Nothobranchius furzeri: one gene and its partners. The protein of the gene in region 3 interacts with the protein of the main gene of each other region in a biochemical or structural test. Links are inferred from orthologs where the notes say so. Each region holds a gene or a part of one and is shown on either strand. Other genes may lie near its edges.

What was found.
Region 1: the proteins of pou2f1b (region 3) and rxraa form a complex in vitro, tested with the Homo sapiens proteins (2 studies listed by BioGRID). The link is inferred for Nothobranchius furzeri from reciprocal best matches to the Homo sapiens genes POU2F1 and RXRA.
Region 2: the proteins of pou2f1b (region 3) and POU domain class 2-associating factor 1 are reported together in a solved structure, tested with the Homo sapiens proteins (2 studies listed by BioGRID, with this or other methods). The link is inferred for Nothobranchius furzeri from reciprocal best matches to the Homo sapiens genes POU2F1 and POU2AF1.

Annotation. Positions count from the first base shown.
Region 1 is NC_091746.1:41,868,193-41,872,803, reverse strand, and holds the start of rxraa (retinoic acid receptor RXR-alpha-A), read left to right. Parts: upstream 1-1,524; 5' UTR 1,525-1,789; coding exon 1,790-1,817; intron 1,818-4,611. UniProt on the Homo sapiens protein: Receptor for retinoic acid that acts as a transcription factor.
Region 2 is NC_091753.1:21,177,859-21,182,681, forward strand, and holds the start of POU domain class 2-associating factor 1, read left to right. Parts: upstream 1-1,730; 5' UTR 1,731-4,823. UniProt on the Homo sapiens protein: Transcriptional coactivator that specifically associates with either POU2F1/OCT1 or POU2F2/OCT2. It boosts the POU2F1/OCT1 mediated promoter activity and to a lesser extent, that of POU2F2/OCT2. It recognizes the POU domains of POU2F1/OCT1 and POU2F2/OCT2.
Region 3 is NC_091754.1:25,720,232-25,725,022, reverse strand, and holds the start of pou2f1b (POU domain, class 2, transcription factor 1b), read right to left. Parts: upstream 2,957-4,791; 5' UTR 2,815-2,956; coding exon 2,769-2,814; intron 1-2,768. Other genes in the region: dynein intermediate chain 2, ciliary, read right to left, coding at 4,738-4,791. UniProt on the Homo sapiens protein: Transcription factor that binds to the octamer motif (5'-ATTTGCAT-3') and activates the promoters of the genes for some small nuclear RNAs (snRNA) and of genes such as those for histone H2B and immunoglobulins.

The DNA of each region.
Region 1 (4,611 bases), on a different chromosome or scaffold from region 3:
GTAAAACCTGCCATGTTAGAGGAGACCAGGTGCACACAGAGTTGTGACTTGTGTAAACGGTTGTGTTTAGAACTGTTTAAGTCAGTATCTTAATGGGGCTGCAACAACTGCAACAGACTGAGAATGGCCTTTGAAGAGGAGTTTCCAAAATGTCTCAAAACATTTTGAAAATGTTTACAACTTTCAAACTGGTCACAGAGTCATTGGGGTCATGAAAGTGACAGAAACTCCATCTACAAATAAAACATAATGTTTCTAAAAAGTTGTTTTACTGTTCTTTAGATTCCTTTTCTGGTGATTTCTTTTGGAGGGTATTTGCCTGTGCCGCTTGTAGCTCTAAAGTAATCAGTTTCCACATCAACCATACAACATTTAACATCTAAGCAGCGTGGATCATAATGGAAATGTGTTCCCCACGACCACGGCGGCTCGTCCCTTCCTGTCGTGTCACACAGCTCCTGCAAATGCATTTCTGGGACTGTGTGCCTGGTAGTAACCAGGGGTTGATGAATGGCCTGCATCTTTCTGAGTCAGAGGACTCCAAAGCGCTTTACACTACATGGAATCATTCATTCACTCACACAGCGATAGTGATGAGCTACATTGAAGCAACAGCTGCCCTGGAGCAGGGAAGGGGAAGTGTCTTTGCCCAAGAACACAACTGGCACTGACAGAGCCTGGGTTTGAACCAGCACCCTATTAATTACAGGGCAAACTCCTAACCTGATCTAAGGCAGTTCACCCTCCCCACCTGTTGCTGTGGTCAGAGGGACTGGTTTTTCATTAAACTGTTTACCAGCCCATTCCTAACGGTAACATTCCTAAACCCCTTTTTCATTTTTCGTACAAAGATATTTGCTATGAATGTGCCTCCAATATTTATTTAAACTCAAGACTGAACACATGATTGTTGATCCAGAGATCCACCAGTAATTCCAAAGTCCAGATATAAAACTGGATGGGATCACTCTTTCCAGTCTGTTGCACCTCAATTATGGAATAAACAACACTGTTTCAGCAGTCTGGAGTCATTTAGACTTTCTGATTAAAATGTCTTGTTTTAGTAATCTGTTACTGTTGGTTTTTTAAATCATGTTTTAATTGCAATGCTCTGTTATTGAGGCACTTTTATCAGTAAAAGACAAAAATAAACGTAAGTTTCTGACTTTTTTCTGTGAATTAGACTCAAATTTAAAGGAAAGGGAGTAGAAAAATCTGTGCTGAGCCAACACTCCTGGTTCAGCACATGTGACCAGGTCAGAATAACAGGAGATAAGAAATGAATAGGTAGCTGCCGCTCAGCTGGTGTGGTGCAGAAAACCTCCAACTGGCGAAAAACTGCGCGTTTCTTCTAGTCCTTCTCGAGGATTCCACATGTTGCGTACCCAAGGTCTCATCGTTTTTTTTTTTTTTTTTTTTTTTTTTTTTTTATTGTTTGCGCCGCGTCGCTGCAGCCCGGAGCTCGTCGGTGGGAGTACCCCCTGCCTGCGCAGGTCCCTCTTTTGCTGAGCCGTTCCAGTAGTTGGAGTTGTTGTACAACCGGAGCGCGTCACTGAGCTGCGAGCAGCTGAGTGCGCAAACAGAGGCAGAAACGTTAGGTTATCTTCTGATACGGTCACACATCGACCTGCCACTTCTTCTGCCGCTCACAGCAGCAGTGGAAGAAGAAAGGAGAAGCAGCAGCAGCAGCGTCCCGGTCCGGCTCGCGGAGCTCGAGCTGCCGCTTGTGTGGGAGAAAACTCCCGAACACGCTCGCCTCAGCTGGCATGAGCTAACCGACGACTCCGACATGGAAACCAAACCGTTCCTGTCATTGGGTAAGTTTGTTTGTTTTATGACAAAGCCTCGCTGAGGTGTTTGTAAACGGATTTAGTTGCTCTCGCGCCGCGTAATTCTTTTGTTTCTGTTTTGACAGCGCGTGCGGCTCACCCACATGTTTGGAGCTGCTCACGCGCTTTTATACATCTCTTTAAATGTTGCTAACTGATAAAACTTTGTGTTTTATCGTTTATCTGAGAAAGAAAAGACCCAGATAAGTCAAAGTTAGGTTTAATTCCTGAAGCAACTGAGTGAGCTGATGACAACTCTGATAAGAGCTCAGACTCGCGTTCGTTTCAACTTCTAAACGTTACAAAACAAACTACTTTAAATGTGGGCCTATTTTTGTTTGTTTGGTCGCTTTAGATCATAAAAAATGAACACATTCCATTTTTAACCAGCACCTAAACTTCTTTTGAACTTACCATTTCTGAGAAAATGAACTTAATACTCTATTTTGACCTAAATCTGGAAGGACTTAGCTTTCTCATAAGACGTGTTCCTAATATATAATATAAGAGACCACTTTAATAACGTCGGTGTAACCATTGATAGGTGCCGGTAACCTCACATGTGACCTCTGCACTTAGCTCAAAGTTTACATCTGGACCATGTTTTATGGATGACGTTGTTGAGCAAAGCGTTGCATGGATCATTGTGCAAGAAATGGCACATTTTATGTTCAGCTAAAGCTTATTTTGCACAAATGTCAGTTTATGTTCATTTGAAGCTTCCGGCACATCAAAGTCAGGAAGATCCAGGTGTTTAATCTGAGGTCAGATCTAATTTGCACTAATTGGCCCATTGACGGCCCATTGACTCCCCAGCTTAAACACAGGCACACTCACCATGCTGTAAATCATTAACACTGACTGCTACTGTAAGTTTGCTAAAGTGAACACAGGAGACCCTTGTCCCCCCATACCCTCCCCCAGTATTGTGTCTGCTGCCTTTCTTCATAAGAGCATCATGTTACACCTTGACACACATCACCAGCTGCATCAGGGAGATTCTCAGGGACCTCCTGAGGCACTGGGCAGCTTTCTTCAGTTACAGGCTCTGCTCACTGACACTCCCGCCACAACACCCTTTATGTGGCTTCCCAGAAATACGCTAAACCGCCAATGCTGCACACACTGGCAGGCTGTTATTGCAGGTGCATTGTATTGTGTATCTGTAATGAGAATGATTAGAGTTTCATGCTGCCTGAACGTGCACTAGAACTGCCCATGACAGCATAAACAGACTGGAAAGCTTTAATCTAACAGTCTTTAATGGTCGGTGTAAATCTGAACCCCTTTTCCACATGTGACAGATCTTTAGTGGTATTCTCTTTGAGTCTTTAAGTGATCATTTATGTTTGAAATCACACCAGCAAAAGCAGAATGTTCCTTTGGTTCTTCAAGGACACCCTTAAAGTCCTTGGATTTATTGATTATCCGCTTACTCAGAGTAATTATCTAATGTCGTACTCCATTAGAAATCCTGACATGCATCTTTTTGAGATGACAGCGAGCACATTTTACAGTTATAGATTGGTTGTTGGCCGTGATGACGACACCTGGCTTTTGGCAGCTGATGCTCTGTACTGCATGTGTACTTTGTGCTGATGTGGTCCCACCATCAACTATTGCCCCCTCCCTGCACGTGCACACACACACACACACACACACACACGCACGCACGCACGCACGCACGCACACACACACACACAAACACACACACACTGACATCAAGCAATAAAGACCAAATGGATGACATTGGAAGGAGAGTGTGTCCTTCCATCCCAGCATTAGAGGGATGATCATGACAGTGTGTCAGTGAAATCAACAGTGAGAGATGCCAAAAAAAATCACAAGAGAAAATACATTTAGTCTGTTAATATTGATTTCTCATTTGTTCCATTGCTTTAACCAAATGTATCAACACCAAGCCTACTTTCTCTTCTTACAATAGTCATTTGTTTAATAACATTTATAGTCTTGTCAAATCTATCTTTTTATTTAAAAGCATGTAAATCACAGTAAACTGCACAATGACTGTCTCATTCTCAAAACTATGATCACCCCTGGATTTTTAACGTTGTTTAGACTATAAAGAACCAGTTTTGGACACAAAAATAATAGAAACTGTGAACAAATATGTTGGAATTCTGCAAAAATGGCGACACTTTTCTAATAAGTTTCATCTGAGTCATGGGGAGCATGACTCACCTGTGACAGTTGCACAACTGTTTTGTAATGAAGTCACAAATTGTCTTACTACACTAAACTGAGAAGTGTTCCAGACGGGGTCCACCGCTTACTCTGACTTTTTAAATGAGGAATAACGCTGCATTAATTAACACCAGTGCCCTGCAACTCACACAAGGACTTTTTGAACTTCCGCAACTGTTCTTGGACATTTTTGAAATTCCCTGTTCACAATATTCACCATCAGTCACATGAGGGTGATATTCTGGTGTGACACCTTTTTGTGTCACATTTTGAGTATGTTAAGATCTGGAATCCCATAAAACTTGCCTAAAGTTCTCAGAAAATGACTAACAAAGGTTGTTAAAGTTACAGTGAGCAGTTTCCAGGTCCTTCGCCCTAATGGTTGAAAGTGGAATCACAACTGCCGTGAACAAATCCGCTGTAGTTTGCTGTAGCTAGTGCTAACAACAAGCTAACACTAACATAAGCAAACTAATAATAAAATAAGCCACAACGTAAAAAGATCCACACTGTTGGACAAATATTATTACTTACAAGTTCAGTAGCAACAAAGCCAGGTCACTATCAGTCTATGATT
Region 2 (4,823 bases), on a different chromosome or scaffold from region 3:
CTTTTAGATCCGGACCTCGAAGGAGGATGTTTATCCAGGTCACACCTTGGCTGACAGAGAAGACGAAGGTGTGCGACGGTCCAGTCCAGAGTTGACCTCGGTACACGTTGCTGAAGCGTTTCCGCAGATGCGCTTTCTCATGTTTAAATGAACTCAGAAATCAAAAGACTCTGGGACGAGTCTGCGTTAGCGGGTTGCATTCAGCTATTCTGTCTGGCTTGACAGAAATAGCGTGGTGGGAGAAAAGGAGCCTGCCGGGCTCCTTTCCCCGTGGCGTTCGTTCCGCACTCCTGCTCTCATCCAAACTTACTGACTCCTTACCGAAACCTCTTCTCTTCCCAAAGCAAACTTGTGCGTCAGAGCAAATGTGTTTTGAAGTTACTGTGGATACGGACCTGTATGAGCAGGTGTGAAGGTCATTGCTAAACATCTTCAAAAACATTATTTAATTAAGTATACTGATTCATTATAGTTCATTATGATTACCCAAAGCATAATAATCATTCATTTGATTAAAATACATTTATAATGAGCAAAGTGATCAAATGATTATTTAACATTAATACACAAAGAAAGCTTAAGACTCCGTTTTATTATGACTAGGCTGTGTGTGAAGTCCTTCTTCTGGAGATGCAGGTGTTGGATGTTGTGGAGTCCTTCAGACTTGCTGGCGGCTTAGGTCTTAATCTGTGGGTGAAGGTGCTGCATGGCCCAGCTTTGACCCAGCCGGGCAAATACGACCTTTGGCACAGAAAGGTCGTATTTGAACAGGTGTCCAGACCCACCCTAAAAGTCCTGTCTGTGATGAAGTCATCTGATTAAAATGCTGAGTTGTGCAGACTCACAGACTCCTGACAAGGGAAGATACAGCAGAACATGTAGTAGCCAGGGTTATTTGCTCTGGCTGCATATGACCTGTGGGATCTTTAAAATCGGTTCATTTCGTGACGTTACAACTAGATAACCTAATTAATTTACTAATTTATTCAAAAAGTGATTGTAGTCAGTTAAAAGCTAAGCTAAAAAGAAGGGTTTTGAGCCTGTTTCTAAAAACATGAACGTTCTCTGCGGCCCTGAGGTCCCCTGGCAGCTTGTTCCAGAAGCGAGGACCGTAGTACTGGAAGGACGCCTCGCCGTGAATATGAGTCCTGACTTTAGGGATGACAAGGACACGGCTGCCAGAGGAGCGCAGAGACAGCGTGGGTTTATACGGTAAAAGCAGTTCTGAAAGATGAGAAGGCCCAAGACCATTAAGACACTTAAAAACCGTTAAAAGTATTTTAAAATCGATACTTAAACATACGGGGAGTCAATGCAGTCGTTCTAAAACTGGAGTGATGTGCTCCCGCCACCTGGTCTTCATCAGGACAGGCACTACTGAGTTTTGTAATAGTTGTAGACCTGAAATCCTCTTTTTAGGAAGACCAGAAAGCAGGGCATTGCAGTAGTCTATGCTACTGGTGATAAAAACATGCATCCGCATCTCCGTATTGGCTCGAAAGAGAATGGGGCGGACTCTGGCGATGTTCTTTAGATGATAAAAACCTATTTTGGTGATATTTTAATATGATGGATAAAATTAGGCTAAGAGTAAAACGTGACACTCAGGTTCTTCACTTGTGAAGATGGATTAAAAGACAGTGATTGGAATTTTGGTAAAAGCTTCTCTCTCTGGGCCTCAGGACCGATAACTAAAGCTTCAGTTTTGTCCTGGCTGAGCTGGAGAAAGTTTTCTGCCATCCAGGATTTGATGTCTAAAATGCAGTTAAACAGTGCATCCATTGACTGTGTGTCATCAGGGGACACAGAGATGCACAGCTGTGTATCATCAGCGTAACTGTGGAAATTCACCCCTTGTCTCCTGATGACACTGCCAAGAGGGAGCATATAAAGGTTAAAAAGCACTGGGCCTAAAATTGAACCCTGGGGCACACCACATGTAATCCCATGAGCCCTAGAGGAACAGGTGTCCAGACTCACCATAAAAGTCCTGTCTGTGAGGTAGAAAGTGAACCATTGGTGAACAGCACGAGAGGCCGATCCATTTCAAACGAGTTAAAAGAATAGTGTGGTCTACTGTATCAAAGGCAGCACTTAGATCCAGTAGAACCAACACAGTCACCCTCCGGGCATCATAATTTACACTAAAATCATTTAAAATCTTCAGAAGGGCCGTCTCGGTGCTGTGGTTCACCCTAAAACCAGACTGAAAATTTTCAAAGACATTATGGGTGTTGATAAAATCATTAAGTCGAATTAAAACAAGCTTTTCTAAAATTTTCCTTAAAAATGGTAAGTTGGATACCGGTCGATAATTGTTTCAGTCATTAAAATCTAAATTGCTTTTCTTCAGCAGGGGCCTCACCACCGCCCATTTAAAAGCGGCAGGAAAGACCCCCCGTCTGAAGGGAGCAATTCATCATAGTTAAAACCTCATCTCTAAAAGAATCATAAAATTGTTTAAAAAAAAACAGTGGGTCCACGACACATGTGGTGGGCCTCACTGAGGAGAAAACTTTATCAAGACTCTCAGCTTCAACCAGAACAAAACTGTCCAGTGTTTCCTCAGGTAGACACACACTCTCAGATGTGTCTAAAACCACGTTACGTTGGGAGGGTAAAATGTTGCATCTGATGGTGTCTACCTTCCCTCTAAAGTGGGCTGCAAACTCCTCACAGAGGGGGTTTTAGGGGGTTTTATGAGTTGAATTTAAGTTGGAGTTGAGAATATTATTAATTTTGGAGAAAATAATTTTAGGGTTACTTTTATTGTCTGAGAGAATTTTGGCAAAGTATGCGTTTCTTGAATTTCTTACGGCATTTTTGTATGATTTAAGTAGTTCTGAATATATCTGATGGTTTATTGTTAATTTGTTTTTCCTTCATCTCCTCTCCGCCACTCTGCAGTTTCTCTTTAGTTTTTTTGGGTTTCATTTCTCCAAGGTGATGTATGATTTGACTGTAAGTTTTTGGTTTTGAGTGGAGCAAGCAAGTTAAGAGCTGACTCAAGTCTTCTGTTAAAATCATTGATAATGGCATCACCAGGGGCGGAGACGTTAGTTGGAGGGATATTGTTAAAAGCTTCAAGAAAACCAGCAGCCATGTCAGGGCTTAGATGACGCTTCTTTACAGTTCTCACAGAGGGCCCCCACTGGATAATGCTGGTGATGTTAAAAAATACGCAATAGTGATTGGATACTGCCAAGTCGACAACAGAGGACACACCAGTGGACACATACGTGATGACCAGGTCCAGGGTGTGTCCTCTGTCGTGAGTTGGCTGCGTGACATGTTGGGTAAAATCCATATACCGTAATTTCCGGACTATAGAGCGCACCTCAATATAAGCCGCACCAAGCTAAAAGCTGCAGATATCTATTGAATTGAAAACGTAGTTTAACTGAATGTAACTGAACTGATCAGCATCAAACAAAACAGAAAAGTTATTGATTAGTTTATTCATCGTCCTCCTGCGCACTGAAACCACTGAAGTTATCTTCTTCAGTGTCGGAGTTGAACAGCCTCACAAGAGCTTTGTCACATACCTTTTCTGTGTCGATGTCTGTGTTACTTTCATCATCCCAGGGTGAAGCTGGGAAAACAAGCATTGCTGTTTTACTGTGAAAAAAACCCTCCTGTGCGATTTCCGTAGCACTCCTTTAACCATTCCTTCATTAGACTTTCCAGCATCCATCCTTTCTGGTTGACTAAAGCTGCACCTCATTATAAGCTGCATGGTTCAAAGCGTGGGAAAAAGTAGCGGCTTATAGTCTGGAAAATATGGTAATTCAAGAAGTTTAAAAAAATCTGTGGCTAAAGGGTCTAAAAGGTTATACATGTGCAGATTAAAATCTCCAGCTAAAATAATCCCATCAAAGGAGTTGGGTAAAACTGATAAAAACTCTTGAATAAAAGGTGCACTCTATTTAGGAGGCCTGTAAACAGTGACACATAAAATCTGAAGAATGCTAAAAGCGGCTGCAGTACATTACAGACAGCGAACATTAAAAAGAGTCATATTGACAGATGCTGGAGGTAGAGTGGCTGTGTGATTTATTGAACTTGAGGTGTTTGGTTGCTGTTTAAGGTTATTGAAGTTGGGTTTGCTAGATTTACGATTGATTGGTCGCTCTCTGCTGATAATGACAGGTATGTGGTTGGTTTGGCAGGGTCCAAGTCCGATATGTGAGTTAATGTTCAAATCAAGGCTGGGTTTGTAGGTACTTGAACCAGGGGGGCATCACGCCGGGGACACACTGGCCGCGGAAGCACCGCGAAAATGGGACCGCCTTCATTCGGCGCCCTTGTTAAGCTATTCTATAGACCACATGGGCCGCCGAAGCGCCACGAATCGCCTCGCGCCGGCGCTCCAGCCCGCGCCGTGCAGCGGTCATTTCAGCGTTGGCTCTATTTTTTACGCGAGCCGCGGGTGAATCACGTGAATTCTGGCAGGAAGTCAAACGTAGACATAAGAGGCAGGCCGGTAAAGTTAACAAAATAAAGCATTTCAAAATAAAATTCCGCAATAGTCAAATGTGTTCTTAAACAGACACTGCAGAAAAACCAAACGAACACGCACACACATACACACACATCGAACTTGTGTGCGTGTGTGACCACGTGAAGGGGGGTGTGGTTTTGGGTGTCTTTTCACCGGAGCAAACAGGACAGAGAGGCAGAAAGTCTGAGGCAAGCAGTTAGGATGGATGACTTTAATTTGATGCAACCTTCTGTGATTGGCTGGCAATTGGCCTAAAGGGTGGTTTTCCCAAGCCCCATTGAGTTTGCAGTCCCAGACTCCTCTTGATGTTGTACATCTCCAA
Region 3 (4,791 bases):
GTTGCAAACTACAGCACCAGTCGGGAGCTGACTGTTTTCCAGACACCGATTGCGCGCAACCACTGGCGCCTAACTTCTAAGTCCAGCGGAAAGGAGTCCAACTCCACAGAGCCACCGCAACCACACTACACTACACCGTCTCACCTTACTAACACGATATGGAGCACTAAACCCGAACTACTTTCCTAATTACACTAACAGCCAAACACTAACTAAACTACAATATCCAACAGCCAAACTAACACTAAATAAGTATGTATAACACTAAAAGCTATGCTAAAGACTAGGATATGCTAATGCTATATGCTAATGCTGAACTACAGCTAACCTCCTACACTCGCTTGCAAATCAAACTCCCAACTCGCCACAAAGCGTGGCCGAGACTCTCTATGCTTTATAACTTTGACACAGAGCTGCTACGTAGTACTCTACTGGTTTACGTAGTATCTTACTCTTTAGCCGTTGGCTAAAGTGTATTCAAAATGACTCAAACTCTATGTTTTAAGCTGAAGGTGGCGCTATACTGTGGTATTTAGGCAGAATTTTTAATTTTTAAAGAAAATGCACCAAAATGCTGAAATAATGAATACACACATTTAAAACACTACTACACACATTTATACAGTTCATCAGCAAAAAAAAGTTAATTTAGACATTACTTCCTCTTTAAGTCCTGAGGAAACAACAAAACTGATTATGTAAAAATTTCTTCATCCAAAGCAAAAGGGGAAAAAATAAGCTGCAGCTTGTCTGAGTGAAGCCTGCATGCAGGTCCTCTCAGTACTTTGAGATGGCATGTCCTGAATTTATTACAGCAAGTGTTGCATTATTCATAACAACTGTGTTTACATTAATGAATATTCATGATGAAACTACAAGGCTAGAATGAGGGTGGAACTGTAAAACTGATTAAATGAGAAAAGTAGCTTCAGTTTGAGGAAGACAGAATTATTTCACATTCTTGAGAAGCTCAGTGTAATAAATCAGCCCCCCCCCCCACACACAAATCTGCAAATATTCTAACATCTGAAAGATGCTAACAAAAAGACTTAATTTTTGAAAAATTGGACACTTCCCTCATGAAATAATATAAATTGTACATGCATTTGTATGTTTTTCTTAAAATTGTCAAAGTTTATCTTTGCCTTCTGTATAAAAACAAATTTAAGCAGGTTTTGGGAATGAACATGTTTTAGGAAAAAACAAAAGCAGCTTTCAGATGTGATCCTGAGTAGTCAGTAAAACACCAAATACTTTTACAAAACAACAATGACAATTGTTAATCAGCTACATAAACTGTTTGTGTTTTCATGACACATGCACCTAAATCTGGAACAATAAAAACTCCTTTAATCATATTTTAATCTTGTTTAAAATTTGTTTGACTCTCATTTATTAGTATATTTAATAACATACCACCTAATATTTTGTTAGCTGCAACAAACCAAGCCTTTTTTAAAGGGATGTCCAGTCCATATGAATTTCCTCACTGTGGGATTAATAAAGTCTATTCGAATCTATGCATAGAATAATCCACTAATGTTACCACATCTGACTGGTTTGTTTAGAGTAAGCCAGAAACGTTAACTACATGTAGTAAAAATGTTCTGTTCGTGTTGGGACTTGTCTGTTCATGAAACTAGTTAAGAATAAGAACAGAAAAAAAAACCTTCTGCTTGTTATTACTGTTGCCTTCCGGAAGTGGGCCTCACCACCCCACCCTTTGCCTGAGGGGGATACACAGGTACAGGCTTTGAACTCAACGAACTTCGACCACAAAAAGGGGAATAACGTACACACGGTGTTTGTCAGGAACAGATTAATTATATGTTGAAATTCGCCAGGCAAAATAAATCGAAGCCAGAAAGCTATCACTTAATAAAAGGCTCGATCCAACTTCTGTTCTAAGAGCGGCGAGAAAGACTATTACAATCGTAAGCAGCACAAACTGTAGATTAAGTGAATCATGTAAAATGAACCGAAAGTATCGGATTCAGTTGAAGCTAACTGAACGTCTTTCATTAGATCAAACAAACGCTACTCGTGTGTTATAATAGTGTGGTATTTATGATGGTGGAATATGCTGAACTCCGCACTCTGGTTGAGGGAGGCCTGCATGAATAACAACAGGCTGCTGTGGCTCTCCTGCGCCGAGCACAAAAGACCGAAGGCAAAATGCTCTCCCGTAAAAAAAAATCACGTCGAGCTGAGCAACACCAACCTGACACGGTGTTTGACAAAAGCCGTGCTTGTTGTTTAGAATATTATCAGTAGAAAAAGAAGAACAAACGAGTGGCGGCCACTACCCGGCCGGTGAAATATGAATATGCAAAGCTCTGAGAAAAAAGCCCCAGTGTGCATCAACACAAAGCCAAGCGTTAGCACCCGAGCTAACCAAGCTAGCATGCTCATTTCAATCAAACTGCCTTCAGAAAATAATATATAAGCGTTCCGCATGAACAAGTGTCACGACGGCGATTACTAATAAAATATGCTAAGTTGTATTTGTCGGCAGATGTATGAATATGTAGCGGCGTACATCCGTCTAATCACACAAAGGGGGAGGCATGTTTCCATGTATTTTACCGTCGCACTGCAACAGCTCGTTTCCTCCCTCTTGTCAAACTACATTTGTGTGTAAACTCAAACATCGCCCCTTATCCTCCTCATTTCCAGCTCCCTCCGCGTTTCATCACTATTGTTATTATAAATTGTATGTAACGCAGTTTGAATATGAGTATGAATATGTAAAATGCTGTAATCATTACCTGGTGCTGAACTCTCATCTTGACTCGCTGCTCCTCCGTCCGCCATTTTGAATATTTAACCCGAAATCCAGCCCCGAGCGCGCGCACACAAATACATACACATTCACACAGTCGCAAACACACGCACGAGCACTCACACACTACACACAAAACAACATGGGCAGTGAAAGAGAGGTGTTATCTTATTTACATACTTAAATAATCATCTAGTTTGTTTTCCCTCGGGTAGAAAAGCGCTCGAGGGACTTAGCTGAGAGAATATTAAAAACTTTAAACAACAGTTGAATGAAACACTAATAACCTGAAAACCTTAAACTTTCAGTCTTTTTAAAGACATTTTTATTTAGAATAATTAATTACTTTTAATGATCTATTTCATGTTATTTTCTTACACTGTTTAGTAAAAAAATTAGTTTTTTAACTTTTAATTATGGTTATATTACTATGGACATTAAGTTTTAGCAGAATTAATAGGAAATTTTCCTATTTGTTTTTTTAAGAAACTTTACATTTAAATATTAGAAATTTTGCTTTCTCTGTCTTCTTCCACATAAAACAATTCAAGGAGAAAATTCTTAAGACATGACCATTTGTTGACGATAGAAAACTACTTCACTTTTCCAATATGTAAGAGTAGATCTCCCTATGATCTCACCACTTCCTCCAAACTGACCACTGAGCTGAGCTGCACATCTTTAGTGAACCCATTAGACTACATCACCTGGTTTGATGCAGACTGATCAAGTGTTTGCATCTTATTCTGCATATTTCCTCCATTTTGAAACAAATCCCCTCCCAAAAGCATGCTGCCACTTGTTTCAAATGACAGAGACGCTCTTATATAATTTTCTGATGCTTTACAATAATCTGACCAACATTTGATTTGCTCACATGCCATCACACATTAATTATTGCAAAGTAATGTAACACAATATCGCTTTACCTTTGATCAAGCTCCTCATTTTCTGCATACCACCTGGGTTTGATCATTATTTTATTTTGCAACAACGCGAGTCAAATCTCAATCACTCAAATTTGAGCCTTGCCTTTTTTTATAGTAAGGCTTTGTGCTGGATTTCAGTTTATCCCCAAGGTCCCAGAGGATATATGGATACTCCAACAAGTTCTGGATCTATTCCTGGATAGTGTATACAGCCCAAACCACGTCTGCTGCCTTCTCTCAGTGAGGAGCAGGAGCTCTTCTCCAGCATTACGTGGATGATGGAACCCTTCGCCTGATCTCTAAGGCTGAGCCTCAAGTTTGTTTTTTACTGATGAGATTTTTAGCAGTGACTACAAATGTGTTGGACAAAAGCTCCTTTTACATCAATACAATGCTGCCACCTGCAGGTGTCATTTAAATAACTAATGAAGTTTGAAGTGAAAAACAGTTACAATTGTATTGAATTACTGTTAAAACCTTTAGTACTTTATTTATGATATTTTCTGTAACTGCAATGTATCTTTTTGACAACCATTTAGTAAAAAGATCTTTTGCTGAAGTTTCAGTCTGAACTGTGTTTATTTGATTGCATTGTTTCCAATTAAATATTACTGGTTTTAATTCTAATCATTTCTAAACTGAAAACATTTCTGTGAGATATAGATAAAAAAAACTAACAAATGTTGAGAAATTCACATTTTCTCATTCTAATTCTCACTTAAATTTAGTATCTGACGAATTTGTCTTTAACTTACTTACATTTTCCCCAGCAAAACACATTTGAAAAATCCTGTGGCACAACAAAGTTTGGGCAGAAATAAAATTAAAACTAACTAACAAACTCACTAAAGGTCAGTCTAAAATCCTGTTATCTTCCTAGAGATCCAGAACACTTGAAAAGCAAAGTGAAATGATCTAAACTGGAACCAAGCTGAACAGCAGCCGGTTTAAAAACAAACACAACAGACAGAAAGACACTTTGACTCAGAGAGGACAAAGTGGACACACACAGTCCAGAGAGTCTGGTTAAGGTAGGTCAGGGTTGTAGGTTAGACACGTCTCCATCTTGTCTACCTCTGG